4 linked regions of the Elephas maximus indicus genome follow. The protein of the gene in region 1 interacts with the protein of each later gene in a pairwise test. Links are inferred from orthologs where the notes say so. Each region holds a gene or a part of one and is shown on either strand. Other genes may lie near its edges.

Region 1 (7,060 bases):
TGTTCTTCTGTTGAACATAATATCACTGAGCACCAACATCATTCAAAGCCTCTCTGGTACTGTGATGGAGCAAAACAGAAACAAGACGACTCCACAGTCATGTCTGAACTTAGACAAAACCAACAACATTGTCCAAACCACAAAAACGCCCACACATTCCCCTACCCTGGCTAATAGGAGTGGAGTGACTGCTACTTCTTTCCCAACTGCAGCTTTATGCTGTCTTCTTTCCACATTTAAGGTAAGATTTATTAAGATATCCAATAAGAGACTTACACCGACGTTCTCACCTAACATGAGTCCAAATCCTGTAACTTTTTAACGTCCTTTTATGGAGTTACCACACAGTTCCCCATGGTATATGATCTCAGTTGTTGCAATGAGTCAATAAACCCATTTTTTGTTCAGCTAAAAAAATCTGTTGCCATCGAGTCGATTCCAACAAATAGTGACCCTATAGGACAGAGTGGAACTGCCCCATAGGGTTTCCACAGAGCAGCTAGTGGATTCAAACTGCTGACCTCTTGGTAAGTGGCCAAATGCTTAACGACTGCGCCACAACTACAGGTGTGTTATCGGTGGTTTTGCCTGGAGAGTATTGAGATTATTATCATTACTGTCAATAGGATGGAACAGAGAGTAGGGTAGGTAAAGGGCTTTTCCCAGGACATCAGGAGGTCAGTAGTAGACAGGCGTCAACAGCCAAGAACCTGTGTGTCCCAACCACCAGACTAGTAGGTAACAATTCAGAGTCCGGGCTCTAGGGGAAGATTATATGTGATGGAATGTGCCAGCTTAGAGCTGCTCCTTTGGGATGAGTTTCTTAACCTCTCTCATCCTCAGTTTCCTCACTGGTAAGTCAAGGCTCACAATAATGCTTCTGTCATGAGACTTTTACAAAACGTAAATAAGATAATCCATGATAAGTGCTGAACTGCTGGTACGTAGTAAGCTTTCAGTAAATGTGCCCATTATAATTACTTTCCTCTGTTACTAGTTGTCTAAGTCCACAGTAGAGGAAAACAGTGGTCAAGTCCATGGAAAGTGTGTGCTGCTACTGTTCTGGGTGTATGTGTTTAGTCTTTGTCTGCTTACGTTATGCCAAATGCCTGAGGCTGATTTCCTATATTTAACCATAAGAACTATGAGTGAAGTAAAAGCATACTGGTAAAATTCATGTGTGTGTTCTAAGAAGCTCCAACCAGGGCAAAAGCAGTGTATGAAAAGAAATGAATTAGCTGTGGGAATGGAGGGGTAAACACAATTTGTGGCTGTACCTATCCCTTTACCCCCGTTGACATTGATAAGGATTACATTTTGATCTTGACCCTGTGGCTCTGTTCCTTTCTGCCTCGACTTCTTGCATTTTCTGTATGTCCCTGTCTCCAGGTGATTCTAATGCACAGCAAAGTGTGGAAGTCACTGGCCTGAGTCATTTCCCCAAAGCACCAGCCAATATCATCCCAACTCCACTGAAATGGGCTCAGAAACTCTTTCTTGCTGATACATAGAAAACAGGGCAGTTGAGAGGAAAGGGGTTTGTGGATACAATTTTCCACACCCTAGAACTTCCTGACTTGCATGCAGAATCCCTGGATTCATGCAAACAGCAATAAGAGGTCCATGGGTAAAGGGTAACGTTCATTAAGTGTCTACTATGTGCGTAACTGCAAGATGGATCACACTCCTCTACCCTGAATTCACTGAACCTTTGCGCACAGAAGTACTTTTCCAGGCTTGAAAGGCCTCAATCCTGCCTCCCGTTTCTCTGCCTCTCCAAGTCCTGCCACCTTCTAGGGATGAGCTTTCATCTTTCCTCCTCTAAGATGTCTGTCCTTACTTCCCTGTGCTCTGCTCATCTGTGATATAAAAAGACTGGTTTGGCCAAACTAAGAAGAACATACAGAATGCCTGGCATGGAGGGTTAATACCCCAGATGGGTACTTGAGACCCTAAATGTAAAGGCTTGTGGATGGGAAAGAAGGAAAGGCTGGCAGGAGTCACAGGTGCCAAGGTACCTAGATAAGCCATAGGAGTTAAAAGTGGCCGCTGAAAGTCATCACTTACTCAGTAAGTGTTGGCAATATCAAGAGTTCAGAGGAGAAAGGGGAAGAGCAATTTCTGTTTTTATATCACATAACAGGTTACAAAGCATGCCCTCATACCCACCACATCATGGCAGGTATTGTTCTCTCCGTTCTACAGAACGGCCTTTTAAAAGTTAAGAGCATGGACTCTAGGTTCAAATCCTGACTTTGCATCTTACTTGTTGTATGATCCTGGGAAACGTAGCCTCTCAAAGGCTGGGTTTCCCCATGGGTACAGTGAAGATGATGGGAGGGTTAAATGGGGTCCTGCATGCAGTGCCTGACAAGTTGCTGACGCACTCAGCATTAGCCACGGTACTGTCACTGTGTACAGATGAGGAGGCTGAGGGCCAGTGCTGCACTCGGTCATGGAGTTAGTGGAGCTTGGATTTGGAACTCAGGTCTGTAAGTGGTTAGCACTTGTTTAGGATACATTTAATCACTACAAAATTCTTGGTCTCTTTCTTTTCAGGTGGAAAAGTGGGCCCAGGGGGTACCTGGCCTGCCCTGTGGGCCCCGCAGCTGGCACAGGGCCCCTGGTTGTCCTGAGCCAGCGCGACCCCACATTGGAGACGCCCGGCACTTACGAAGTGCGGATGCTCTTGAGACGGCCCTTCTTGAACGTGATGGTGGCATTGCGGCAGCAGCGGCTCTCGTAGTAGTGGCACATGAGATTGCTGCTGGCCGTGCAACAGCACTTGCAGTTGGGGTCGTTGGCCCAAGAGCAGCAGCACCAGTGGCAGTTGGGGTTCTCGGAGCAGGTGCAGTGGCAGCATTGGCAGTTTCGCTCGTCCTTGTAGGGGCAGGGGAAGCAGGTGCAGTTCCGCTCCGAGGTGAAGAGGAACTTGCAGCACAGACAGGAGCATAACCGAGGACAACATCTCTGCCATGTACAACATGGAGAGCAAACACACATAGCAGTCTCCATGGTGCCTACATGATGGCAGCCTGCCCCTTAGGACTTTTGACGCCTCCTCTACCAGAGTCCCGCTGTTACTTCTCCAGTAGAGGGGTCCCTCCTCCCCCTGATGAGGCTTCAGCTTGGTGGCAGCAACAGGTTGGCTGTTAGGAGGCCTTCACAGGTGATGTCCCTACTGGGAGGCTCATGGGCTGTTATTTACGCATATCAGCCTGAGGCTTTTTGCTTATGTCACAATCCCTGTCTCCCCACCATTATCTCACCACCCTGTGTAGGTGGGGCAGGAGGGTGAGACGTTGGGGATGGCAGCGGGTGGACTGATGGACACTCCATGCTTCCACAAGACCAGCTCCAGGGGAGTGATGTTACAATGACATTTTGAAGGTTTAGCTGTCACTCGTCGCCTTTCAGCTTATGGGCTGGATTTCAGAAGCTGTTTCTCCTTGCTTAGTGCTGTGCTTGCAGTTTGGGCAAGCTGACTTCAAGGTATGTCTGCATGGGCTACAAGGCCTGGGTGTAATTAATTGGGAAAGTAGACTGACATGTTTTTCCTCTCCTTGGGCTTTTTCTGCATAGAGAGAATTCTTCATTTGATGAACACAGTGTTTACAAATACTAGCAATGCCACACTTAAAGGGATATCATCATTTGGAGAAAGAATTAGAGGAAAAAAACAGATACAGGCACAATTAGGCACTTTCAATACTTAATGGTTTTGTCAGTCACTGCATAATCGCTGCTGATTTTCATGAGGCTTCAAGTATAAGTCGGAAATCCTGGTGGCATAATGGTTAAAAGTTCAGCTGCTAATCAAAAGGTTGGCAGTTGGCATCCACCAGGCGTTCCTTGGAAACCCTATGGGGCAATTCTACTCTGTCCTATAGGGGCACTATGAGCTGGAACAGACTCGACAGCAATGGGTTTGGTTTTTTGTTTTTTTTTTTTAGTTTCACGTGTAAGTCACTATGAGTGTTTCTTGGTTTTTCTGCAGCTTGATGGAGTCTGGCTGAGGCCCAAGCTCTGTTTACTTTCTCTCAGTCTACTCCCATCCCAGCACCTCTATTAGCAAGAGACTAGAACTTCATATGAGAATCTTTAACTGGGCTGAAGTTTCCTTGTTCTACTAGTATATATACTCTGAATCCCTAGAAACCAGACCTTATATTATAGGGGAGAATTTAGATTTCTACTTTATGTAGCTTGCAGAAATTAAAAGAGCAGACATTTCATGATTATACCACACTGTAATATAAACACTGTCTTATTATTTTCCCAAAACGAAGCAGAAGCAAGAGTTGAAATTTAGCTGCAGGAGTCTTTTGCATAATTTATTATCTCTTCTTATGATTATCACATTCATAATAGGAAAGAGCATTCACTGGGTGCTCTGTGCCAACCACATGTTGAGTCTAGATTCCTACTAGTAAAAATCCTGGGTGATAGGACATGTACTTTATCTTTTTTGATAGATATTATTAAATTGCTTGTTAAAGTGTATGTGCCAGTACATTCTGACAGCAACACTGTATGAGAGACCTAAAAATTAAACAGTTAAACTCATCAAAAGACTTCTCCAAAAGAGAACCTACTATAGACTGGGAAAAAAAAAAATTTGGCTGTGATATAGCTGACAAGGGTCTAATCTCTAAAATTCATAGAAAACTTCAACGCCTCAGCAACAAAAGGAGAAACAATCCAGTTAAAAAATGGGCGAGGGATATGAACAGACACTTCACCAGAGAAGACATTCAGGTGGCTAACAAACACAGGAGGAAACACTCATGATCATTAACCATTAGATGCAAATCAAAACTACAATGAGATACCATCTCATTCCGACAATAATGGGACTAATCCAAACACAAACACACACACACACCACAGAAAATAATAAATGATGGTGAGGTTATGGGGAGATTGGAACTCTTCTACACTGCTGGTAGGAATGTAAAATGGTACAGCCACTATGGAAAACAGTATGACACTTCCTTAAAAAGCTAGAAATAGAAATACCGTATGATCCAGCAATCCCACTCCTAAAGAAATAAGAGCTGTGACACAAGTAGATATATGCACAGCCATGTTCATTGCAGCATTATTCACAATAGCAAAAAGATGGAAACAACCTAAGTACCCATCAGTAGATGAATGAATAAACAAACTGTGGTACGTATACACGGTGGAATACTAGGCAATGATAAAGAATAACGAATCCACGAAACATCTTCCACCATGGATAAATTTGGAGGGCATTACGCTGAGTGAAATAAGTCAATCTCAAAAGAACAAATATCGTATGAGACCGCTGTTAAAAAAACAAGAAAAGATTTACACACACACGTTGTTTTGATGATTACCACCGATGGGAGGGGGAAGGAGGGAAAAATAGAAGACACGTGTTAATATTGGTGAAGGGAAAGGCAATACAAAATATGAGGGAAGTCAGTACAACACGACCAAGGCAAAAGAAGAAACTGAAAGGAATGCGAGAATTAAGGACCCCTACGGTAATTACTGTAACATAGATAATCCTGCAACAATAGTATTAACAGTAATCTATGAATGGATACACAGGTAAATAAGTATGCTAAAGAGGTGGGGGGGTGGGGTGTAAGGGAGCACACCTACCCTGCAGATATAGGTTTGGTTGTGGATATTTCTACATATATAATTGTAGGTGCTGCAAGTATGTTAATATAGACAATAGAGCACACAAGGGGCACAGTCATGGAAATTTCTTAGCCATAACCAAACACCTCGATGAAGTTCCTAGGCTTAAAGGTGAAGGACCACAGACTCGGGGACATCTACTTCAATTGACACAACATAGTTCATAATGACAATTGTCTGCATCCTACTTTGGTGAGTAGCATCTGCGATCTTAAAAGCTTGTGAACAGCCATCTAAGATACGACTAATTATCTCTTCCCATCTGGAAAAGGAGAGCGAAGAAAACCAAATACTCCAGTGAGCAATTAGTCCAAAGGACTAACGGACCACATAAGCCACAGCCTACATGACCCTAAGACTGGAAGAACTAGATGGTGCCCAGCTACCACTACTGATCATTCTGACTAGCATTGCGACAGAGGGTCCTGGACAGAGTGGGGAAAAAAATGTAGAACAAAAAATCAAATTCACCAAAAAAGACCAGACTTACTGGTCTGACAGGGACTGGAGGAACATCTGAGGTTATGGGCCTAAGACACCCTTCTGACCTGGAACTGAAGCCATTACCAAAGAGCACATTTCAGCCAAACCATAGACAGGCCCATAAAATAAACAATAACACCTGAGAGGAATGTGTTCCTTAGAAGTATCAATTATATGAGATCAAAAGGACAACATTTGCCCAAAAGCAAAAATGAGAAGGCAGGAGGTGGTAGAAATCCAGATGAAAGGAAACTGGGAACTCAGGGTGGAATTGGGGAGAGTGCGGACACATTGGGGGAATGCAACCAATGTCATAGAACGCTTTATGTACAAACCATTGAGTGGGAAACTAATTAGCTCTGTAAAGTTCCATCTAAAGCACAATTAAGAAAAAAAAAAGCAACCCAGTGTATGAGAAGACACCTTTTCCCCACGTTTGCCCAAACTAAATTTTACCAATATCCTTCCCCATCTTTCAGGTACAGAGGTTTGAGTTTTACTCCTGGATATATGGTTCATTTTCATCATTGGTCTGTGCAAGGTTTCTCTTGTTTTTTTTTTTTTTGAGATGATTACATACCATAACGTTTCCCATTTTAAAACGTACATTTCAGTGGTTTTTAGTATATTAACAAGATTGCATAACCATCATCATATCTAATTCCAGAACCATATCTAATTTCATCACCCTGAAAAGAAACTCTACCCAATAGCAGCCACTCCCTGTTCCCTCTTCCCCTAGCACCTGGAAACCATTAATCTACCTTCTGTTTCTGTAGATTTGCATATTCAGGATATTTCATAGAAATGAAATTATACAACATATGACCTTTTGTGTCCGACTTTTTTCACGTAGCATTATGTGTTCTAGGTTCATCTATGTCGTAGCATGTATCAGTGT
Region 2 (7,238 bases), on another chromosome or scaffold:
TTTGCAATTTCATTGAAAGGAATCTTTTAAAGCCACTTGACTTTTTGGTGAAGGTTAGTTCAGTTGAAACTGGATAATATATATCTTAACCCAGCATCAGTAAACTTCCATACATCACAATATAACAAAAGTAAATCAACAAATAAGGAAGCAGCTATCAACTTTTTCACATGTGAACATCCTGTTCTTTCAGAAGACTTGTGACCAGCTGACACATCCAGTGACTGGAGACGCTGGTGTCTTTCTAGATTAAAAAAATAGTTTTAATATTATTTTATATTTTTAAGTGAAAAATGTAAATAAAAGGTATACTATTTCTTCCTAAACTCCAGCTAATCACCTTTTACATCCTTTGTGGTACATCATCTCACTCCAGAAACCACTATTTCAGAGAACACATACCCCTCTCTTCGACATCAAAACACTCACTAGCTTTATTTAGTTGGTGTACAGGTATCACGGTGAGCATACGATGACTCCTGTAATAATTCCGTGCCTCCTCACCGAGCTTCATGGCCAAGCCTGGCAACCACTCAACAAGCATTATGGAAAGAAAACTTTTTGGAAAAACAGATTATTCTTATGGCCAGGAAACAATAATAGAGGCTAAGTAAATAGAGAGATAATGAAAGTGACACAGATACTCTAACTGGTGGACAGGAAATCAAACTAGCTCTTTGCTTCAGCATGTTCTTAACAAACATTCGTGTCATGATAATACCATCCCTGGCTAAACAGGACATATATATGTGTGTACATATATTTATATGTATGTTTACATGTAGTTGTTGCCGTTGGGTCAATTCTGATTCATAACGACCCCGTGTGTGCAGAGTAGAACTGTTCCACAGGGTTTTCAAGGCTGCGACCTTCTGGAAGTAAATTGCTAGGCCTGCCTTTGAGGCGCCTCTGGGTGAGTTTGAACCTCCAGACTTTGTTAGTTTACAGTTAGTAATTGAGTGTGTAACCATCTGCACCACCCAGGAACTCATTCAGAGATATATATGTAGACTGTTATGTATTATCCTGCTCTTTTTCGTCAAATAAGAGTAATTATAATATTGTTTATTAATCAGCTTAATGGAGAGGAGAGGAAACATTGATAATTTTGCTCTTTGGAAAAAAGATTTCTTAATATGTATTCCAACAGAGTAAGGATTATGGCATGGTTTATTTTCAATACTGAATCACACTAGCAACCTCCAGTTTATGTTTGTATAATCTTTGTAATATATTTATTTTTAATTATTTAAGATGCATTTCTCTAATCTTCTGAGGTTCTTTAGTAAACATTTTTAAAGTAAATAAAATTTATATCCAAAAATCTAACCTAGTTAAGACTAGATAGCTTTAAAAAAAAAAAAGCCTTATTGTAAATAGTATGGAGAGCCCAACTCAGCCAGTCTTTGGCAACAAAATTCAGTGGTTTCAGAAGAGATTTAGGGCACAGTTAAATATTTATAACTGGGTCTTAACATCTTGTCTTTTATGAGTAACACAGCAGAGGTGTTGGATAAACCAAAAAAACCAAGCCCACTGCCGTCGAGTCGAGGTGTTGGATAAAAAAGGTCAAGTAGAGATTTGGTTTAGAGAACATATTATAATATACTACTAAATCTTTCTTCCAGCGACAATGTAAGTTTTAGATTTAGTAGCTAACCACAAAATAGGTTTAGAAAAAGTTAACAGAAATAATGTAAATCTTATGAAGCATATTTTGAGTTACCATTTATGAAAATTCAGAAACTTGAATTTATCCCAGTCCTGTTTTTGTATGAGTATTAAGTCTCCAAGACCAGGAAAACACAAAATTATAACCAAAAAACCACACTGTGGTTCAGATTTTGAACATGTTTACTCAAACTTACAGCATAGTGGGAAAGCCATTTTTATACTGTTGCAAAATGTCACTATTTAAAAATTCCTCTTTCCAGAATATGCAGGAAGCAAACTATTTAGCAAATAATTTCAGTGAGACCAAATTACCTTTACCTTAAAATCTAAGGCTTAACCACTTACTAGATATCATTTAGCCACACAATATATGTGCCTTGAACAGTCAAAATTTCCAAAGAAGCTGAACAACTTTTATGGGTGGGGCAAGAGCCTGAGAAGGAAAAGGATTCATTTTGGCTTGCTCTGACCTTGGAGAAATATTTAGTACCACACCCTCACACAGCAAACAGTACTGCCAAATCAGTCCATTTTGGTCTCTCCTCAGTCCTCTAAGGAACTAAAATAAAGCGAAATAATAAAGCGAGTACAGAAGTTTGGCAGCGGCCAGGCTTGGGGGCTTGGGGCACCTAAATGAGAGGGGGTAAAAAAAATCAAGAAAGCCTCCCAATTTTCAATCCTCTGTTCTACTTTGAATGAAGGAATATTTTATTAACCCACTGATAAAAAGTTTAATTTTTTCTTTAACCTGATCAATCTCACAACGCCTTCATCATTACTATCACTTTCTTGAGCAGACCATTACTCAGCACGAAGGTGGAAACAAGCCTTCTACAACCCAGCTGAACCAGGGGTGGGGAAGCGGTGTCTTCGGCGATTAGATGGAAACAGGAACATCAGCACTAAGGTCTCAGGTGACAGCGTCCCTCCCCACACCCTCGGTCCCCTCCTTTCTCCGGACCCAGGTCCTGGATTTGGGAACGATTAAGCACAAGCCTGACCTGCACCGGTCCCCGGGGCAGTTGAGAAGTTGAAGGGCAAGCTTAGGCAAGAAATTAGGATTGGGAGGAGGCCGCGGGAGGCCGATGTTCACCTCCCGGACACCCCCCGCGCCCACCTCCCAGCCCCTTTACCCAACTTCAGCCCTTTGCCCTCCGACTCTCTCTGCCCTGCGAGCTCTTTCTGTACTCCTCTGCCCTCGCCCCCAGAGCCGGCCCCGCCTCACCTCCTCCCGACCCCCTTACCTTTCCATTCTTGGGGCTGCCGTTAAGGAACAGGGTCACCCGCCTCATCGCGCTGCCCCCACCAGGTCCTGAGTGAGCCGCCACCCTCCCACCTTTTTCCCCTCCCACCTTTTTCTCCTCCCGCCCTTCCCCTCCCTCCACCCACTTGGACTCTCCTCCCTTCGCCACCTTCCTTCTCTTACTCACAGACAAATACACACTCTCCGTCCCACACCCCAGGGTTGGCGGGTCCTCCTTCCCACCCCGCCCCTATGCTCCTCAGCCTGCCTGGGGCCCTTCCCCCACCGCTCCGAGACTGACTCTAATTTCCACCAATCAACGGGCAGGAATGACCGGCATTCAGCCAATCATGATCCTGCACTGGGAGGGCTCATACGAACCCAGACGGGGTGGAGGGAGGGAAGAAAGGTTGTAGACGGGAAGGGTTATCAGCCAATTAGAGCAGAACCCGGAGCCCACCGGCCGCTCGATGCATAACTGGGCAGGCGCAAAACTAATACTAGGCAGCACAAGAAGAGCTTATCTGCATATGAAGGCGGGGTTTGGGGAAAAGAGCGGAGCGCTAGGAGTGACCTACACCGCTCTAACCCCGCCCACTCTCAACCCACAAAGGAAACGGCTGCAGCCAGGACTGGCTGATTGGGTAAGAGCCCGCCCGTCGTTCTGTCTTGATTGGCTCAAAGGTTCTTTTCGAAGTTCGCAGCATCCAACCGAAAAGTGGGGGGCGGAGCTGAAGTGCCAACCGAAGGGTTACTCCGCGAGACTTACATGGAAAGTAGTCCCATAACCCAAGATAGAAGCTGGTTTTTCTGGCCAATGGGTCACCCTCAGCTAGCGGTGGCTTCTCGCTCAGTGCAGGCAGCGAGTCCGCTTCCTGCGACAGCGAGGTAGAGGCTTGGGAGAGTTGGAGGTGCAAGTGGACACGTGCGGCTGGTTGCCGGCGTAGAGATCTGTGGGGCTACGCTCTGACGCTGAGGAGGCGGGGTCGGCGATTTGAATTCAGCGGCGGGGGATCGCGGAGCGGCTGGAGGTGAGTGTTTAGGTAGAGGGGAACCTCCCCGGTTGTGGTGTCGGGCGGCGGGGAACCCTGAGGTGGGCAGGAGCCAGAGAGAAGAACGGCGGAGCAGCCGTTTACGAGCTACTGCTCAGCCCCGGTGGCTGCCAGCTTAGCGAGCAACAGTTGATTTCCCAAGCCGAACCTTCAGGCCTGTAGAGCCGAGGTCAAGAAACTTGAAGAGATAGAGACATCGTACCAGGCCTTCCCCCCAATTTTGCTGACACCGTCTCTCGTGTGCTGCAGAGATTTCAATATAAACCGAAGCGACAGGAAGTCAAAGTTGCGGGAGTGAGAGGTAGGACAAGTGCCCTGGTTTGGGCTTCAAATACAGTGCAACAGTGCTGTTTCTTAAGGGTGTATCCTGCCCTTCGGAGACAGTGGCCCTCATTCAACCTACTCGGATCACCTGGAATGTTTTTTAAAATGCAGAATCCAGGGACCATCGAGATTCACGGAATCAGAATTCCTGAGACTCCACAAAGTTGCATTTTTAACAGGTTACCCAGATGATTCAGGTGTTCACTAAGGTTTGAAAAGCCATGGCAAACAGTGTAGGGTCCTGAATAGCAGTTTCCCCCATTTCTTTAATATGAGCTGCAGAAGTACTCTGTTGACATCTACATACCTTTGTAGATTGTATTAGAATTCAGCGTTGAATGAGGATCTTGCTAGAATCACATTAAGTTTTGGGGTGGAGTTATTTATATTTTTCTTTTTTTTTTTAGATGGATACCAGTTTAAAAGGCAAGGAGCTCCTTGAAACGAAGGACGAAGAGTCTGCTATTAACAATGCTGGTGTGTAGTGATCTCTTGTGATCTTGTGGAAACTAAGGCATAGATATTTTGCTTGATAATGACGTTTAGCCTCAACAATATATTACTGTCTGTTTCAGAAAATACCTCTTTCATGTTGGGAAATGGGGAGCTTGTAACTCAGAAACATGAAGCAGAAGTGACGCCTAATCTTTGCAGACCAGACATATTTAAATCACCTTTGAACTTTTCTACTGTAACTGTAGAGCAATTGGGAATTACACCTGAAAGCTTTGTTAAGAACACTCCAGGTAACAGAAATTGTCATTCTATTGTAGTGCTTTTCAATTTTAAAGATAACCTTAATATAATTCACTTTTATTCATCCATCCTGTTTATCTTGTTATTTTATGTATCTAAAATGTTTGATTCTGTCAGCTCACTTGCCCAAGGAGACTTCTCTGCACTTGCACAGCCATCCAGCATAGCAGGACATCAGGCAGCTGGCCAGTGTGATAATGTTCCTAAGTCAGAGATGTGCTGTATACCCAGTGGGAAAGAATGTGTACAGATCCCTTTTTGACATGACGTAAGAGAATATATCCTATAAATAGTAAAACAGTTTATGTTCAGGAATGGCAAATATAAGAGAAAATTGAGGAACAATTAAAATATAATGTGGAATGATTGGGGTGTACTTCTTTCAAAATCACAAACAAAATTGACTCGGGGGCTAATCTCCAAGGAGCGGAAAGTCACCTGTGAATTTCTGTTGTAGGTGAAGAAAGAAACAAAGGAATGGAACAGAATTTAGAAATGGAGGATATGGGAGACTGCAAAGTCAAGGGGCACTAAGCTAAGCAATGTTTGAGACAAGGCCAAGGTGTTCTCTCTTCAAGAATATCACTTTTAGAAAAGCTAGGTGCATTTTGTGTGCTTGGACACACGGCCAGAATTCAGGGTACTTGGACACACGGCCAGAATTCAGGGTACTATGCTGAAGTATGTAAGTGTGGTACAATGAGTTCCTTTATGTGGCCTTTGAATTTGCTCTTTGGAAAAAAAATTTGGGAGACCTCCCAAGCTGTATTCTACCACAGCTTGTTACTTTTGCCTGGAGAGGGCCAATCTCTGCCTGTAGAGAATGTTACTGTTGTAGAAGACCTGAGTGGATTGACATCTGGGCAGTGGAGTATTGGTTGAACTGAGGTGGAGGAGCCCTAGTGGTGCAGTGGTTAAGTGCTCAGCTGCTAACCTGGAGTTTGGTTCTTCAAACCCACCATCCTGTCCGTGGGAGAAAGATGTGGCAGTCTGCTTCCATAAAGATTTACAGCTTTGGAAACCCTATGGGGCAGTTCTGCTCTGTCCTACAGGGTCTCTGTGAGTTGGAATCAACTTGACAGCAGGGAGTTTGAACTTTGGCTTGGTGAGGGAGGCCCTGCATTCTAAGAGATGAGCATTGGTATATATAAAGGACTGAAGTGTAGGTTTTCAGGGCTACTTGGTTGACAAGAGCTGGGAGGCAAGTGTGTCTTTGACACAGAAGTCCTGTGCTTAAAACCCTCCCAGTCCCAGTTAAAAAAAAAAAAGCTGCAGCTGAGAGAGCACCTTAGCAAGCTGCTACACTGGCTATGAGTTGGGCCAGCTAGTGGCTGACAGCAGTGCTGGTGTTGCTGAACCAGTCTGCAGAGAAAGGGCAAAGAGATGCAACAGCTAAGAGCCTCGTGGTGGGGAGGCCTGCCCAGCAGAGAAGGCATCTTCCCAGCAAAGAAGGCAGCTGCCAGCAGAGAAACTATGCCCACTGATTGCTTGCTGAGAGCTGTTCAGCAGAGAGCTTATCTGCTTATGATCCTTTTTGCTCTGAGAGCTGTCCTGCTCGGAAGCTGTCCTGCACTGAAGAATGCATGGATGTGCTCTCCACTTTGGGGACTCTTCCAGACCTTGTCTTTGTGTTTCCTGACACTGATCCTGAGTTGTTCCTGTTACTTCCAAGGTGATCTTGACCCTGCATTGTAGCCTCTTACTTCCCTAATAAACCACATAACTGAGTATGATCTTTGAGTTCTGTGTGGCCGTTACAATGAATTATCGAACGCAGCAGAGAAGTAGAAAGTGCTGTAGGGAAAGCCTAAAGCCTGTTGCCATCGAGTCAGTTCCAACTCAAAGCGAGCAGCTGGTGTCAAATAATGAAAAAGGAAGGTGGAGATTGGCTTGACTTCTGCCTCATAGAAACCAACTTTGCGCTTATCCTGATTCTTATCGCTTATGAATTTAGACAAGTCATTATGCTATAGATATACTAACAGAAGCAAAATTGTCTTGAAATATTAAGAACTTGATAGAGTTCATGTGCCTAGGTGGAGATCCTTCCCTTTCAGCCTGTGGGTATGTTGTTGTTAAAGCTGCTATCAAATCGCCTCAACTCATGGCGACCCCAAGAACAATAAAATGAAACGCGGCCTGGTCCTGCGTCATCCTCATGATCAATTGCAGATTGGACCGTTGTGATC
Region 3 (7,845 bases), on another chromosome or scaffold:
AATCAAGCTAAACTCTTCTATACTCTATTGGTATAAAAACTGCCCTACTTTCAGGGGCTCTCTTGTACTGAAATGATGTGTATGAAAGGACTACTCTTCCAAGCCTCATACCAACCAAGCAAACTCTTTCACTTGTCAAAGGTAGCGTGAATCTCTTCCACTTATGCTATCATAGAAACCGAACTTTATATGAGCCACAAAATAAAACAAATATTCCTTTGATTCAGAGTTAACTTGCAAGAGAGCAGGAAAAACCTTGTGCCAATCCTGAATTGCTAAGGCAAACTGCAAAACAATAATTAAACAAATAACTGTGAGAGCACCCTAAAGGAATATACAGAACACCTTGTCCTTAGTATATGGAGTTCTTATCAGTCTTCCCCCTCAATAAACAGTCAATACCATCACCAAATACTATTGAAGCCTACCATCACTTTCAAGTTGGCAAGTTTCTTGAACACAGGCCAATTTAGATCACAAAGCTTTTCGAAGCGCCTTCTCTATGCGAAGCAGGGACTAGAAGCTAAGAACACATAGATAAATATAATACAGTGTCTCACCCTCATAAAGCAAATAATCTCAATAACGTGTTGCCTTCTTTAGTACACACCCAGAAAGCCCCTTTACCGGCTATCTCTATCAGCCACAGTTTTGTTTAGACTGTTATATGTATTACAAAAACAGGTAAGTTAAACCACACACACGCACGCAGGCACACACACACACACGCACGCACACACGCCCTGCCACACCAGTCTGATCCCAAGAAAGGAGAAACGTTCGGCAAAGAAAGGGGCAATTTCCCCATTCCTCCTTTAAAAAATCACCAGCTTACTGGCTCATCTTTCAAAGCCCAACTAAAATACAATTTGGAACAAACTCGTCAAAAATCAGTATGCCTCTTTTAAAGTGGCACTTAACCAAAAAAAAAAAAAAAATTAAGGCAACCTATGTCAGAGATTCTATATTTTACCAGTAGAAACAACTCTTTGCATCATCAGAAACATTTAAAAATACACCAGGAAATAATGCTAGTATTTAAATTAAAAAACTTAATCTTATCGATTAAAAATAACAAGAGTCTGTCCAGGCAATGACAAAGCTAAAAATGTCATCTATCACTAATAAGGGTGAATCACAGCAGTCACCTCCTCCACCCAATAGCCACCTTTGCTAAGACTGAACAGCTTAAAACCTAGAAAGCTTTCCTTGCCTACTTCAAGCCAGAAATGAATTCACTTCAAATACTAAAGTTTAAATATAGCTATGCAATAGCAGGAAACTATTAGGAAATAATAAATTTACCAGGACATTTTGTTCTTTAGACTTAGTTCTGCCTTCTTCACAATTTAGCGCGCCCCCACCCCCGTTTTTAACGAGAAGCCTAACAAATACTCTTAACTGAAAAATGAATCATGCCTTTGGATTTTCAAGATAAATTTCTATTACTAGAGTATAGGAGGAGACGTTACTACACATTGTCTTATCAAAAAGGTGACTGCATCTTCTTTTAACTCTGAAGCATGTGAACTGATTCAATATTTAAAGGGTTCACTGATGTCCTCTGTAAGCCGTTTCCCAGGACAAGACGCTTCAGCCCTGCACATGTACAAACCTACTGGGACATTTGAATCCATATTGTGTAGTAGCAGCCTAGAACTGGGGAAAGATTCACTCATTGCTGGAAAATCAACTTGAGTCTCAAGAACTTAAATTGAATAAAAAAGGCAAGGATAATAACCTTCTCAGAGCCTCTACATTGGCGAACAATTAGGCAAGCCCTCGCCCCCCTTTTTTCCCCATTCCCATGAAATTCTCAATGAAAGGCATTACACAAAAGGGCCTCGGCGCTCCAGACACCCGATTCTGACGCCCCCACCACCCATTCTCCCACCACCGAGACCACCAGTCCAGACTCACCAGGACGGTGGTGCAGATGGATCTCAGTTCAGACTCCACTTTCTCCCGATAGTCCTTAATCAGCTGCAACTTCTTGTCGGAGGTGTCGGTTTTCTGCTCGATGCTCGAGATGACCCTCCAGGCGGACCTGCGGCCCCCGACGACGTTCTTGTAGGCCACCGAGAGCAGGTTGCGCTCCTCGTTGGACAGCTCGGCCCCCTGCTCCGTCACCGCCTTCATGCAGGTGGCCATGTCGTCGTAGCGCTCAGCCTGCTCGGCCAGCTTCGCCTTCTGGATCAACTCCGTCTTCTCCATGGTGGACAGGCGGCGTGCGGGGCTCGGGTGGCGGCGGCGCTCCGGGAGGGGACGGGGAGAAGAGACAGGCAGAGACAGCGAGGGCGGCGAGAACCAACCCGGATCAGGAAGAGCCCTCCTCGAAAGCCTGCGGGAGGGGCGGCGTGGGGAGCGCCGAGAGTGGCGAGATAGGAGCCGAGAACAAAAAGGAGGGGGAGGAGAGCGCGCACCGTCAGACAATGCGGCCCACACCCCGCCCAGCCCGCAGGCCGGCCCCGCCGCCCCGGGCCGCCCGCCCGCCCGCCTGCCTTTTGTCTCGGCGGCCGCGGCGGAATTGAATTTCCCTCTCCCCCCCGCCCACGCTCACCCGCCTAGGCACCCCGGGAGAGGCCGGCGGGGCGGGGTCGGCGGGGCGGCCGGGGGCTGAAAGGCCAAGGCCGAAGGCCAGGGAGGCGGAGGCGGCGCCCACGCGGCCAGCCAGCGGCCCGGCGGCGCGCGGGAAGCGGGAGGAAGGGCCACCCCCGCCCAGCCCGGGAAGCCCAAAATGGAAGCGGTCGTCAGCCCTGCATTTTCCCCGCCGATCGCTGCCTCTGAGGAGACTGGCGTCGAGAGCCAGCCGTGGCCGAGGGCTGCGCCTCCCACCCTGCCCTGGAGCCCAGGAAGGCCGGAGGAGGGGCGGGGGAGCGATCCCGGCGCTCACCTTTACCGTCTCCGCTACCGCGACGCGAGTCCCACCACTTTGATGTGCTTTTTAGCTTTAGCGAAGGACCCTCCCGTCTCAGCCTACCCCGGAGCCGAAGGGCGGGCAGCGGCGCGACAGCCCTCGCGCCCGCCGCCCAATGATACGCCGCTCTTCCCCCAAGAGTCCCACCTCCTACTCCGTTACCAACCAATGAGGACTAAGCGCGCGGAAGGGGGCGAGGGAGGGGGTGGGGTGGGAGGGGAAGCGGAGGACAGGAGGGTGGGTCGCATTTGGCAAAGTTCGGTTGGCCGGTAGGCTGCGGCTTCGGCCACGGGGTTTCCTCCAATTAGATCCAGGGTAAAAGGACGTCACTGTTGCCATGGTGATGCTGTTACCAACTCCCCTCATCCTCCCCGCCACCCCCGGCGCTTCTGGGTGCGGCACGAGACCGAGAGGCTCGCAAGACCTCTCCCGCGGTGGCAGAGTCTCTTTCTGCAGCAGCCACTGCAGATGGTGCATTGCATCTTGTTGCCTAATGCAGCTGCAGCGCTGGTCGGTCCTGACTGAGGCTGGGCTTCGGAGGGTGACAGAATGGGCCCTCTCGCTGCACAAGCGCCTTTCTTTCCTCCACCTTCCTATTCGTGACAAAGGTTTGGAGCTCAATATACTAAACCCAGCCTTTAATGACGTTGCGATTAGGGCAGCAAATTAGAAACAATCTCATCCCCATTAGAGAAGATTTAGTTCCTGGAGAAAGTGGCTTAAGTGTGGCTTTTACCTGATAAATTCAAGTTTTCCGACGGGTACCTAAAAACTAAAATTCCCCTGCATAAAGGTAGATCCAAGGAGGTCTAAGCAGACTTATCTGACAATGCTAGTTAGCATGATTTAAAAAAGAAAAAAAAAATGACATTAAGGACCATTTGGAGCAAAACACCCAGAACCTGCTCCCCACATCACAAGCAACTAATTTTAAATTTCCACCTTTTCTATATTTAATGCATTTAAATACATTTTCTTTTCACATCACTATTTTATGTGTAACATGGTTTTTATTTTCTGGCGTTATTTTTGAGATGACACTTGAAAAGCCAAAATTCTCTCAAGACGTTGTCTTCTGTTTTTCTCCTCATGGTGAAACCCTTCTGAAGTGAAAACGATTGCCCCAGATGCCTTGTTTTCAGGGTGGCGCCTAACATCTTCTTGTTCCTTGCCTAGCCTCCACCAGCTACTTCTTTCTCTGCTGGCATTTCCCCAGCCCCTCAAGTCCAAGTTAGGTCTTCTAGGTCTGGGAAGGGGCTTGGTGCCATCTTGGGATGTAAATTGCCATCTGGGCACACAATGTTATGATTCCAGTTCCAGCAAGGGAGAATGGATCATTGAAAGCCAAGGAGTGCCACAGCCAAGTAAGAATTTGAAATTCCAAGTGGAGACTGAGAGCAAATCTGGAGAATCTCTAGAATGGAAGACCTGAGAGTGCAAACAGATGGGAGGAGAGGATTCGGACTTTCCAGAAATTTAAACTCTCTCCCAGCTGCCCCTCCCAGTCCTGACTTCTAAAGGTTGCTTTGTATCTTGACAGACAGGAGAGGCCTGATTTGGAAAAGGCCTGTGTCTTAATACAGAAATGCCTTACTATGTTCCAGCTTTCTAATGGAGGGCCCTGCTGTTATTTCTGGAATCCCTGGGGCTGGGCTGTAGACACACGAGTGTTTATGGCCATGTGGGCTGGGGTGGAGCCGGACACGGAGAAATCCCAATGGAAAGAATTTGCATGTAGAAGGTCAGATAAAATGCTTTCTGTATAACCAGTGCATTTCAAGTTTACTGGAATTAGAAACAGCAAGGGCAGAAGCCAGTGGAGGTGGTGGTGGTGGGGAGACACTGGAGGGGAATCGTCAGGGGACTGAACATCAGTGGTAGGGAGAGAGGGGTCACCCAGAAGGGGCGAGCACACTAAATTCTTTGTCAGAAAGCCTGGGTTGTACTGCCATCTCGCTGGGTGACCTTGGGCAAGTTTTTGCTGCTCGCTGTACCTCAGCTTCTAGAAAATTCCTACTTTCATTCAATCATCAAATATTTGTTGAGCATCTGCTTCACATGGTGACAATCATCTGGAATCATGGTGAAAACTTCTTCGAAAATTTGGCGCACTGTGGAATTGTAAAGTATTTTATGAGGGTCCAGAGGGATAAGTCTGTATACCTAAAGACCTCTGCACCCAAAAGAGCTCAAGTTGGAGAAAAATAAGACTCTGAGAGCTTGAATTCCCTGGACACATAAAGTACTAACATTTATTTTAAGTCTCTTATAAGCATTGTAGGTATTGACTCGACGGCACTGGGTTTTGTGTTTTGTAAGCATTAACTCATTTAGTCTGCTTAATACCTCTATGAAGTAGGTATTACTATGATGAGTGTCTCTATTATCTCCATTGAGGCACAGGAAGGTTTAAATATTATGCTCAGTGTCACACAGCCAGTGAGTGGTAGAGCCTGAATTTGGACCCAGGCTCTCTGAGCTCTGATGGCACAGTGGTTAAGAGCTACTATGATCTCCAAGGAAATAAGTGAGCTACGGTTGCTAACCAAAAGGTTTGCAGTTTGAATCCATCAGCCACTTCTTGGAAACCCTATGGGGCAGATCTACTCTGTCTTACAGGGCCACTATGAGTCAGAATCAACTCAACGTCAATTGGGTTGGTTTTTTTCTGGTTTATGCCATGGCTGCCTCACCAAGTTTCCCCAGATCTTTGCTAGGTGCTGTGGGGGCTTCTAGGAAGGATCAGACAAGTCTGTTCTCTAGAAGTTTCATTCTAATAAATACGAAATATGTTAAATATCCACATCCAACGTGCTGAGAACCCTCAGGAACAAACAGCTAACAAAGTACTGAGAAGTCATTGCCTTATTTATTTGATGTTCTTGTTATTTTTTTCTAAATGACCTGGTGAGAAGAAACTGATGGGACAGGGGGAAGCACACTGGACCTGAAACCAGGAAATCCTAAATCCCACTCCACTGTTCATTTGCAGTTTGACCTTGGACACCTTATTATCCTTTCTTAAACTTGGTGTCCTAACCTGTGATAAAACCCATTGCCATTGAGTCGATTCTGATTCATAGTGACCCTATAGGACAGAGTAGAACTGCCCCATAGGGTTTCCAAGGAGCGGCTGGTTGATTCGCACTGCGGACCTTTTAGTAAGCAGCCAAATTCTTAACCACTGTGCCATAAGGGCTAAAAGTACATTTTCACCTCCCATGTGGGAGACCCAGCTTCGATTCCCAGCCAATGCATTTCTTGAGCAGCCACCACCCATCTCTCGGTGGAGGTCTGGTGTTGCTATGAGGCCGAACAGATTTCAGTGGAGTGGCCAGACTAAGACAGACTAGGAAGAAAGGCCTGGAGATCTACTTCCAAAAATTAGCCAGTGAAGCCCCTGTGGATCACAGTAGTCCAATCCCCAATCAATTATGTGGATGGGGTATAACCGGGCAGCATTTTATTTCTTTGTGCATGGTGTCACCGTGAGTTGGGGGCTTGACTCGGCAGCAGCTAACGATAACAGCAATAATAATCCCTACCTCAAAGGGTTGCTGTGATTAAATTTCACTTAAGAAAATGCCAGGCATATAGCAGTGGTCAGTTAACATGAGTTTTCTTTCCTTCTGCTTAGGGTGGGGACTCAGGGCAGGAGGGAGGTGCTTGTCCTGCTGCAAGGAGCCTTAGAGTCTTCCAAAATGTTAGTGAAAGCTTATCTCTTGAATCATGGTTCTAATTAGTGGAGTTAATGGTCTGCAGAATGGCTACATTCAGTGTACATTCCAGAAGGAATGAGTCCTCTGGTTGAGTTTACTCTCATCAATTGTTTCATTGGTTTATTTGCCCAGCACCATGGATCATCAGAGAGGAATCTGTTCCTCTCCTACCATATGGCAGGTATTTCACTGACAAATGTTTGAGTGGAACTTTTCACCCAAAAGGCCCGTATAATTATTATCAATACTTCTGTTTAAGGGATAAAGAGTTGCACCCCCTCCCGCCTTTAGCCAGCCCTGAGGTGCTAAATGAAGACTCACTTAGAGCCAGGGTCAGGTGGAAAAAGCCAGCCTGGTCAGGAAAACATCTTCCTACACATTCCCTGGCTTAGGGCCAGGGTTAGGCCTAAAGCATTATCCTTCCATCAGCAACTGCAGCCGGCAAGGTTTATTCCTGCCATCTGCAGGCTCCCCAGTCAGTGCACTTAATTGCTTCATCTCTGACATCTCCTGGGCACCCCTAAGCCACACACTGTTTTCAAACTCTCTTTCTTCCTACCTCCCTGTAAGTGCTCAGGAAAAAAATGTAATAGACTCATTCCATCACATAAAAAACTTGTAAGTATTCAAGCAATATTTCTTCTGCCATTATTTGCATTTTAAGATGAAAGACAGCTCTTAAGTCTGAAGAATAAAACTTTAATGGTAGAATGGTAGGCATTCTAAACAGCTCTCAATCAGCTGGCCACTTGGGGAAGCGCTTTAGCATTCTGACATTTATCCAGCATTTTCTGTACGCCGGGCAATCAAGTTTGTTTGTTTTTTTAAATGCTCAAATGTTTTTGTAGTGATGATAATGGTGATGACGATAATCTTAATAAGGAATGTAATACCACTCGTTATACAAAATAAAAAATCAAATGCAAAAATGTTAAACATGAAAAGAAATTAAGTGTGCAAGAGAAAGTAAACAGGGGTTGGGAGCCTACCTCTGAGAGGTTATCATTGTTTTCATTTTGGTGACTTCTAAATAATCTCTCTTCATTTGTACACATGTGGCTATATGTGTTGGGAGCCCTGGTGGTGCAGTGGTTAAAGCGCTCGACTGCTAACCAAAAAGTCGGCAGTTTGAACCCACCAACCACTCCACGGGAGAAAGACATGGCAGTCTTCTTCTGTAGAGATTTACAGCCTTGGAAACCCTATAGG
Region 4 (7,427 bases), on another chromosome or scaffold:
AGCCAGGTGCCTCATGTAGCTGAAATCACAGGCCTTATAACTACCATATTCATTCTCCACCTGCCAGGAAGAAGGGAAAAAGGAGTTCAGTGAGGAGGTTAAGGACCTCCTACACCCCCTTTTCCTTGCCCAGTCAACTTTTCACTTGTACCTGAATGCTAATGATGTTGCCCCCATTGTGGTACAGCCATGGATATATCTTGGGCAGCAAGACATGAAACCAGGAGTCCACTGCAGCAAGGAAGTCTAAAGGAAGAAGCCGCGCTCTCTGAGCCCACAGTGCTCTGCTCATTAGGGGCTACCACAACCTCTGCACACACATACACAAACACACCAACCAGCGTCAATACTAGCAACTTCCATGCTGACTATACTTGGGGCTGCAGTCTCCATCTGACTTATCTGAACCAAATCCATTGCCGCTGAGTCGATTCCGACTCACAGTGACCCTACAAGACAGAGTAGAACTGCCCTATATGGTTTCCGAGGAGCAGCCGGTGGATTTGAACTGCTGACCTTTTGATTAGCAGCCGAGCTCTTAACCACTGTGCCACCAGGGCTCCTCCATCCCACTTGCTGTTGTTAGGTGCCGTCAAGTCATTCCTGACTCATAGCAACCCTATGTACAACAGAACGAAGCACTGTCTAGAACTGCGCCATCCTCACAATCGTTGTTATGCTTGAGCCCATTGTTGCAGCCACTATATCAATCCATCTAGTTGAGGGTCTTTTTCTTTTTTCTTGACCCTCTACTTTACCAAGCATGATGTCCTTCTCCAGGGACTTGTCCCTCCTGATAACATGCCCAAAGTATGTGAGATGAAGTCTTGCCACCCTTGCTTCTAAGGAGCATTTTGGCTGTACTTCTTCTAAGACAGATGTGTTTGTTCTTCTGGCAGTCCATGGTACACTCAATATTCTTTGCCAACACCATAATTCAAAGGCATCAATTCTTCTTTGGTCTTCGTTTTTCACTGTCCAGCTTTCACACGCAATATGAGGTGACTGAAAAGGCCATGGCTTGGGTTAGGTGCACCTTAGTCCTTAAAGTGACATCTTTGCTTTTTAACACTTTAAAGAGGTCTTTTGCAGCAGGTTTGCCAAATGCAATGCGTCGTTTGATTTCTTGACTGCTGGCTTCCATGGGTGTTGATTGTGGGTCCAAGTAAAATGAAATCCTTGACAACTTCATTCTTCTCTCCGTTTATCCCACTTATACATAACTAAATCTGGGAAGCACTGACTGACTCTTGTCAGAAGAAACTCAACCCTAAGCACTCATATATTTGCATATCAATGGAATTTCAACATAGGAGACCTTAAAGCAGTGTTTCTTACACATTTGTTTTTTTCCTGTAATAAAAATGTTAAATACATCTTAAACCTTATAGAGCTATTATTATGTAATCAGCTTATGCCTCAAATTGCTATAAAGTGGCCTGTGAATTCACAGAAATGTGTAATGTGTAACCTGTACCCTAATGCACTGTCCGGTCGATTTTAGCCATCAATTGAAAGATCCCTGGTTTACATTAGGTAAAAAAGGTAGCATGCCTTAAATTCTCAACTCCTACTTGTGATTTCTGTGATTCACTCTCAGGTCTTCATGCATGTTATTACTTCTGCCTGACATTTTTTTTGTCCCCACTTCCTTCATTTGGCCAATTGCAACTCATGCTTAAATTATAGCTCGCTTCCTCAAGAAAACCTTCTCTGATACCTGAGCCAATTGTTGTTTGCCTTCTTCTATTGAATCTTCTGTCTCAACTCACCTGGATCTGAGGTTCTCAGATGAATTTTAGGTTTTCGAAGCAACCAGGATGGGAGACCCCCCTGAGAGAAACATAAACACAAGGAAGAGTGTAGGTTTTGTTGTTTTGGGGTGGAGTGGGGGAGGTAGGAAGGGAGGAAGTTCAGTGCAGTGTTGGAAGTGGCCCTACAGTATGGGCAGAAGGGAGTTGTCTAGGAATCATACAAGGGTGGCTTTGGTTCTTCTATCCCTTCTCCAACTAACTCACCATCTCCCACTCTGCACAAATATAAGGTCCTGGTCTCAGTATGACCAACAAGTTCGCCTTATTTGCCTCATTCAGAAACGCAGTGAGGTCCCGGCTGCCATTAAAGTTATAGACCCCAGGCTCTGGCTCATGGTAGTTCCAAGGCACGTAACTGGAGGAAAGAAGAGGTTAACAGGGCCCAAAGTGGAGAGATACCAGTGAGGCCTAAGGGCTCAGGCTCTGCAGGAAATCTCCAGGAAGCAGTTGGAAAAATGTCCTGGCCCACCCTTTCCCACCCTTGGCCTGGGAGCCCTGGTGCTCCAACCCCTCTCCATCCTGTGCCAGTCTTTCTGCCCCAAGCTTCCTCCTAAGGGGGTGGTACGAAGGGTAAGCCCCGCCTCTCCACGGCTCTCTGAGCACTTCTTACAACTGTATGGCGTTAAGGCCGCTCATTCGCATTTTGAAAAGCCGGTCTGCCCAAAGCACCCGCGGTACCCGGAAGTAGTGCAGGCTGCCAGATACATAGCGGAACGGAACCCCGTCCAGGAGGAACCGGTTATGATCCCGATCCACTACGAAAGACCGAGTGTCTGCCTGCAAATTAAAGTAGAGACGCTGCTCAGCAGAGGTCTGCAGTGGGGATCAGCGTCTGCCGAGAGCGGAGAATATGTAAATAGCCCCGCCAGTTATTATTTTTACTTTCCCTACATCCGCCGAATCTGATCCGGCCTCATCGAACCCGGCAGGCCGGCTCAACCCTCTTATCTTACCTGGGGCAGCAGCAGCGTCAGGAACGGCAGCAGCAGAGAGAGAAGGCAGGGCGGCATCTTGGGAGCCACGGCGCTTGCAGGGCTCCTAGTTTTGAGACTGAGGTCCAACCGTCACGTGGGATTCCTGGGAGGGAACCTCAGTGAGCAAGGGGGCGGAGACCACCCCAAGTTGCCAGAAGATTACCCTGGACTTTTGTCTCCAGCCTGCAGCCACCTGCCACTCTACTAGATTGTAAAATCCTCTATATCTTGCTACTCAAAGTGCAATCCATCGGACCAGCTTCGTCAGCATAACCTGGGAGCTAGTTAGAAATACAGAATCTCAGGTCCTTTCTCAGACCTATGGAACCAGAATTTGTATTTTAACAACATCCTCAGGAGACCCTAAACACATTCAAGACTGAGAATCACAGCTCTACTAGAATAACTCCCTAAAGGCAAGCAGTGCCTGGTCCATCTTAAATCCTCCAGAGTGGACACACAGCAGGTTAAATATAGACGAATGAATGTCAGAACCAGGGGCTAACGCCTGTTCAGAACTAAGGGAAACCTCAGACAATCTTCCCCATGATCGGGGTATGAAAACGGAGAACCAGGTTACAAAAGGGATGTTTCTCCTGGAAAGCCCTGTTTGAGAAAAAGGGTCCGTCCTGGCCATTCATTCCATCTTATCCCCATCCCACTCTCCCAGTTCATCCCTGCCTGCCTGAGCAAGAGATTTTAAGAATAACTGCTTGGTGCCAAGATTTGGGAATTTGTCAGTCTCCATTCCTCCTGCCCTCACAGTCCCAAGCCTGGGATGTGAGGACCAGGGTAATTAGTAATAATTACCGTTATTGTTTTTTTTAACACTTACTGAAGGCTATGTGTTAGATATTATGCTAAGCACTTCATATCTCATTTAATCCTCAAAGAACTCTGAGGTAGATAATTATCATCCCCATTTTACAGATGAGGAAATTGAGGGACAGAAATATTAAGTAACCTGTTCATAGTTACACACTAGTTCAGTAGCACTGGGATTTGAACTCAGCAGTCTGGCTTCATGGTTCAGGCAGGTAACCATAGGCACCATACAACCTTTGGGACTACGGCCTGTATCCCAGATGTTCGCTGTGCAATGAGATAGAAAGGCTGAAGGATAAAGACTAGGGAAAGTGAGGCTCAGAGACGTTAAGTAACTTGCCCGAGGTCACACAGCTAGTAGGCTGTTCAGTTCGGATTTAGACCCTGGCAGTCTGGTTCACGAGTCTGATCTTAACCACTAAGCCTAGAGTGGTGGGATCCGGGCCAGAGCCCTGGAGGTTGTGTGGCTTCAGAGCTCACAGCTCCAGCAGTCCAGACCTCGAGCACCTGCTTCTCCCTGTGTCCCCGGGTTGTACAGTAGACGGCCGCTTTCTGGCCCCAGAGCGCGGGAGGTATGAGACCCCCTACCTCGGGCATTGGGAGATGGAGGTCCTGGGGGCCTAGGGCCGGGCCCGGTTTTGCTCCCCTTTGGCTCAAGTGCCTGCGTCTTGAAGGCCAGGTGGGACCCCTCGCCTGGGACCCGTCCTCCCCAGGCCTAGCCTGCCCCGGGCTTCGCAGCGCGGCGCCCCCACATCGTCCGGGTGCCCAGCGGTTGCTATGATACCGCGGGCCGTTATGCCGGCGCGGACTGATGATGTAACCACTGTTTCCGGCCGCTAGCGCGTCCCTGTCGCCCGAGCCAGGTCAGTGGGGGGCCGGGGCTGGGGGACCCTGGGCTCTGCGCGCGGTTGCCGAGGGTGGGTCCTAGAAGGGATGGGTCCTGGAAGGGGTGGGCCCCAGCCTCGCACCTCCCGCGAACTGCCCTGCCTTGCCTTTACGGCCCGACGGGCGTGGGAGCGGGGGCCGCCCAAAGGTGGCCTGAGGTTGGCGGAAGCGGCGTGGTAGTTGTTACGTGGCCTGAGGCTTTAAGGCACCTGACCCCAGCCTTGTTGGAGCTGGTGTCGCCAGGTCCTCAGATCCAGGCCTCTGCTTTCCGCATTGGTACCTCAGGGGTCGTCGCGACTGTTCCTTTCTGTTCTTTACAGCATGCTCTGCTGGGCCCTCAGTGCATGGCCTGGAAGAGCCCACTCATCCTGAACGAATTCTTCTGCAGCCTCAGACCGTCTTTGAGGAGGATGACTGAGACACTATGGGCCATGCGCTGTGTGTCTGCTCTCGGGGAACTGTCGTCATTGACAATAAGCGCTACCTCTTCATACAGAAACTGGGGGAGGGGTGAGTGTTTGGAAATCACTGAGCGAGTTCCCAGATTATGGTGATTGAAGGACACCAATCCATACATGACAGGGGTATAAGGGTTTTAACTCTGTCCTCTAAGTCACCTAACGGGGCCTAGCTGCATGGTAGTCAAAAAGGTGAATTCTGCAGCCAGGCCTCCTAGATCTACCTTGTGTGACCTTGGTAAGCCATGGTTTTGTCATATGCTTGATGGAGATAATCATGTTTCGCTGATGGAGTTGTGAGGATTGAGATGATGTGTATAAGAGGGCAAGCCCAGTGCCTGGTCCATAAACACTTGGTAAATGTTGGCTGTTATTCATTTAACATTTATTGAGCATCTGCCAAGTACAGAACTCTGTGTTACGATCGTAGTACCTCAGAAATGACTATGTCGCTGTTCTCGAGGAGCTCAAAGTATGATAGTCTTCAGATGGGTTTCTACTAGTTGGGAAATACAGCCTTCTTCCCCCAGGGAATTCTTCTGGGTGCAGGCATTGCGGGAGATGACCGTGGTCCTTCACTGACCCCTTTGGCCCACAGTGGGTTCAGCTATGTGGACCTAGTGGAGGGGTTACATGATGGACACTTCTACGCCCTGAAGCGAATTCTGTGTCACGAGCAGCAGGACCGGGAGGAGGCCCAGCGAGAAGCAGACATGCATCGGCTCTTCCATCACCCCAATATCCTCCACCTCGTGGCTTACTGTATGAGGGAGCGGGGCTCGAAACATGAGGCCTGGCTGCTGCTACCCTTCTTCAAGGTCAGAAGGACTCTTGGATGTGGAGGGGGTTGCAATAGAGCCACTTACTAAGGGCTGTGTGGGCAGTCAAATGTGTAGGAAGCAGGGACCATGTCCTGGGTTTGGCCACTCAGATTTGGGGTTTAGAGGAACCCCAGTGGGACACATGGAGCTGCCATGAGTCAGAATCGACTCAACGACACTTGGTTTGGTTTTTTGATTTTAAGTGGGACTGTGGGATCTGAGGTGTGTGTGGTGAACAGGTTGATAGGCTTTGACAGAGCGAACAGAAGGCTCAGGAAAACTGGGGAAATTGTGTTGCAGAGAGGTACGCTGTGGAATGAGATAGAGAGACTGAAGGACAGAGGCAGCTTCTTGACTGAGGACCAAATCCTGCTGCTGCTGCTGGGTATCTGCAGAGGCCTTGAGGCCATTCATGCCAAGGGTTATGCCCACAGGTCAGTGGGAGGATCCCCTACTTACTGGGCAAAGAGGAAGAGCCTCACCAAAAGAAATGGGAAGTCTTTGCTCTCCTTTCAAGCAACAGCCCCCATGATTCTTTTGTTCCTTGGGATTTTGGCCTTACTGTCCAGGGATGCTCATGATTCACTCCCACTTCACTATAGAGACCTAAAGCCCACCAATATCTTGCTTGGAGATGAGGGGCAGCCTGTTTTAATGGACTTGGGTTCCATGAATCAAGCACGTATCCACGTGGAGGGTTCCCGCCAGGCCCTGGCCCTGCAGGTGAGTCTCCAGGTTTGTTTGTCCACCTGTTCCCCATCCTCAGTCCCTTCTGGGGCATGCCCCAATTTGGTCACATGACTGTGGCCTGTGACCCACTTTTGAGCTCTGGGGCCACTGTTCCAGGACTGGGCGGCCCAGCGATGCACCATCTCCTACCGGGCCCCGGAGCTCTTCTCCGTGCAGAGCCACTGTGTCATTGATGAGCAGACTGACGTCTGGGTGAGGAGCATATGGCTGGGAACCTGGGCAGGGGAGGATTGCTGCTCTGTACTCACTGTGCAGTAGAGGGTAGATCTGTGGTTTCTACTGCATGAGGCCCCAGGAACCATGGTATGTCCCCATCCTCCTTGGCTTCCTTCCTGGGACTGTCACAGATACTGTAGTCAACTGCTCAGGAAGTGGTATAATTCCTGCCCTTGAGCAGGGTGGGTACAGCTACATGTCAGGGCTAAAGACAGTGGCTAAGCAAGAGATACAGAGGCCTCCAGATAAGTGGCAGTTTCTGTGGGCCCTGATAGTGCCCTTTGACTGAGCAGCAAGGGATGGGTCTTACCTCCATCAGTTCCCTTCCAGAGAGTAACCCAGGTATGCTCAGTCCCTAGGCTGTGTGCTGTATGCCATGATGTTTGGGGAAGGCCCTTATGACATGGTGTTCCAGAAGGGTGACAGTGTGGCCCTTGCTGTGCAGAACCAGCTCAGCATTCCACAAAGCTCCAGGTAAGCAATAAAAGGGACACCAAGTGTTTCAGACACCTCCCTCTGGTGTTAGCTGCGCTGGGGCCTTAGCAAGCGGGGAATGGGTTGCCCTCCAGTCCTCCAGTCAGCCTGCCTTCCTCCCTCTACAGGCATTCTTCAGCATTGCGGCAGTTGGTGGCTTCCATGATGACTGTGGACCCCCAGCAGCGCCCTCTCATTCCTGTCCTTCTC

Evidence for each region.
Region 2: the proteins of TRIM42 (region 1) and KCTD9 interact in binary tests that used the Homo sapiens proteins (3 or more experiments, as listed by UniProt). The two-hybrid records come from large-scale screens. The link is inferred for Elephas maximus indicus from reciprocal best matches to the Homo sapiens genes TRIM42 and KCTD9.
Region 3: the proteins of TRIM42 (region 1) and YWHAQ interact in binary tests that used the Homo sapiens proteins (3 or more experiments, as listed by UniProt). The two-hybrid records come from large-scale screens. The link is inferred for Elephas maximus indicus from reciprocal best matches to the Homo sapiens genes TRIM42 and YWHAQ.
Region 4: the proteins of TRIM42 (region 1) and STK16 interact in binary tests that used the Homo sapiens proteins (3 or more experiments, as listed by UniProt). The two-hybrid records come from large-scale screens. The link is inferred for Elephas maximus indicus from reciprocal best matches to the Homo sapiens genes TRIM42 and STK16.

What each region holds. Positions count from the first base shown.
Region 1 is NC_064841.1:18,931,704-18,938,763, forward strand, and holds the start of TRIM42 (tripartite motif-containing protein 42), read right to left. Parts: upstream 3,016-7,060; coding exon 2,675-3,015; intron 1-2,674.
Region 2 is NC_064840.1:48,272,659-48,279,896, reverse strand, and holds the start of KCTD9 (BTB/POZ domain-containing protein KCTD9), read right to left. Parts: upstream 3,018-7,238; 5' UTR 2,967-3,017; coding exon 2,919-2,966; intron 1-2,918. Other genes in the region: CDCA2 (cell division cycle-associated protein 2), read left to right, coding at 4,701-4,770, 4,869-5,039. UniProt on the Homo sapiens protein: Substrate-specific adapter of a BCR (BTB-CUL3-RBX1) E3 ubiquitin-protein ligase complex, which mediates the ubiquitination of target proteins, leading to their degradation by the proteasome.
Region 3 is NC_064830.1:19,016,749-19,024,593, forward strand, and holds the start of YWHAQ (14-3-3 protein theta), read right to left. Parts: upstream 3,004-7,845; 5' UTR 2,894-3,003; intron 2,342-2,893; 5' UTR 2,215-2,341; coding exon 1,921-2,214; intron 1-1,920. UniProt on the Homo sapiens protein: Adapter protein implicated in the regulation of a large spectrum of both general and specialized signaling pathways. Binds to a large number of partners, usually by recognition of a phosphoserine or phosphothreonine motif.
Region 4 is NC_064824.1:117,833,566-117,840,992, forward strand, and holds the start of STK16 (serine/threonine-protein kinase 16), read left to right. Parts: upstream 1-4,426; 5' UTR 4,427-4,476; intron 4,477-4,480; exon of another isoform or gene 4,481-4,530; intron 4,531-4,818; 5' UTR 4,819-4,922; coding exon 4,923-5,008; intron 5,009-5,554; coding exon 5,555-5,774; intron 5,775-6,077; coding exon 6,078-6,211; intron 6,212-6,379; coding exon 6,380-6,500; intron 6,501-6,623; coding exon 6,624-6,719; intron 6,720-7,095; coding exon 7,096-7,217; intron 7,218-7,345; coding exon 7,346-7,427. Other genes in the region: GLB1L (beta-galactosidase-1-like protein), read right to left, coding at 1-60, 152-246, 1,773-1,833, 2,019-2,169, 2,425-2,591, 2,768-2,824. UniProt on the Homo sapiens protein: Membrane-associated protein kinase that phosphorylates on serine and threonine residues. In vitro substrates include DRG1, ENO1 and EIF4EBP1. Also autophosphorylates. May be involved in secretory vesicle trafficking or intracellular signaling.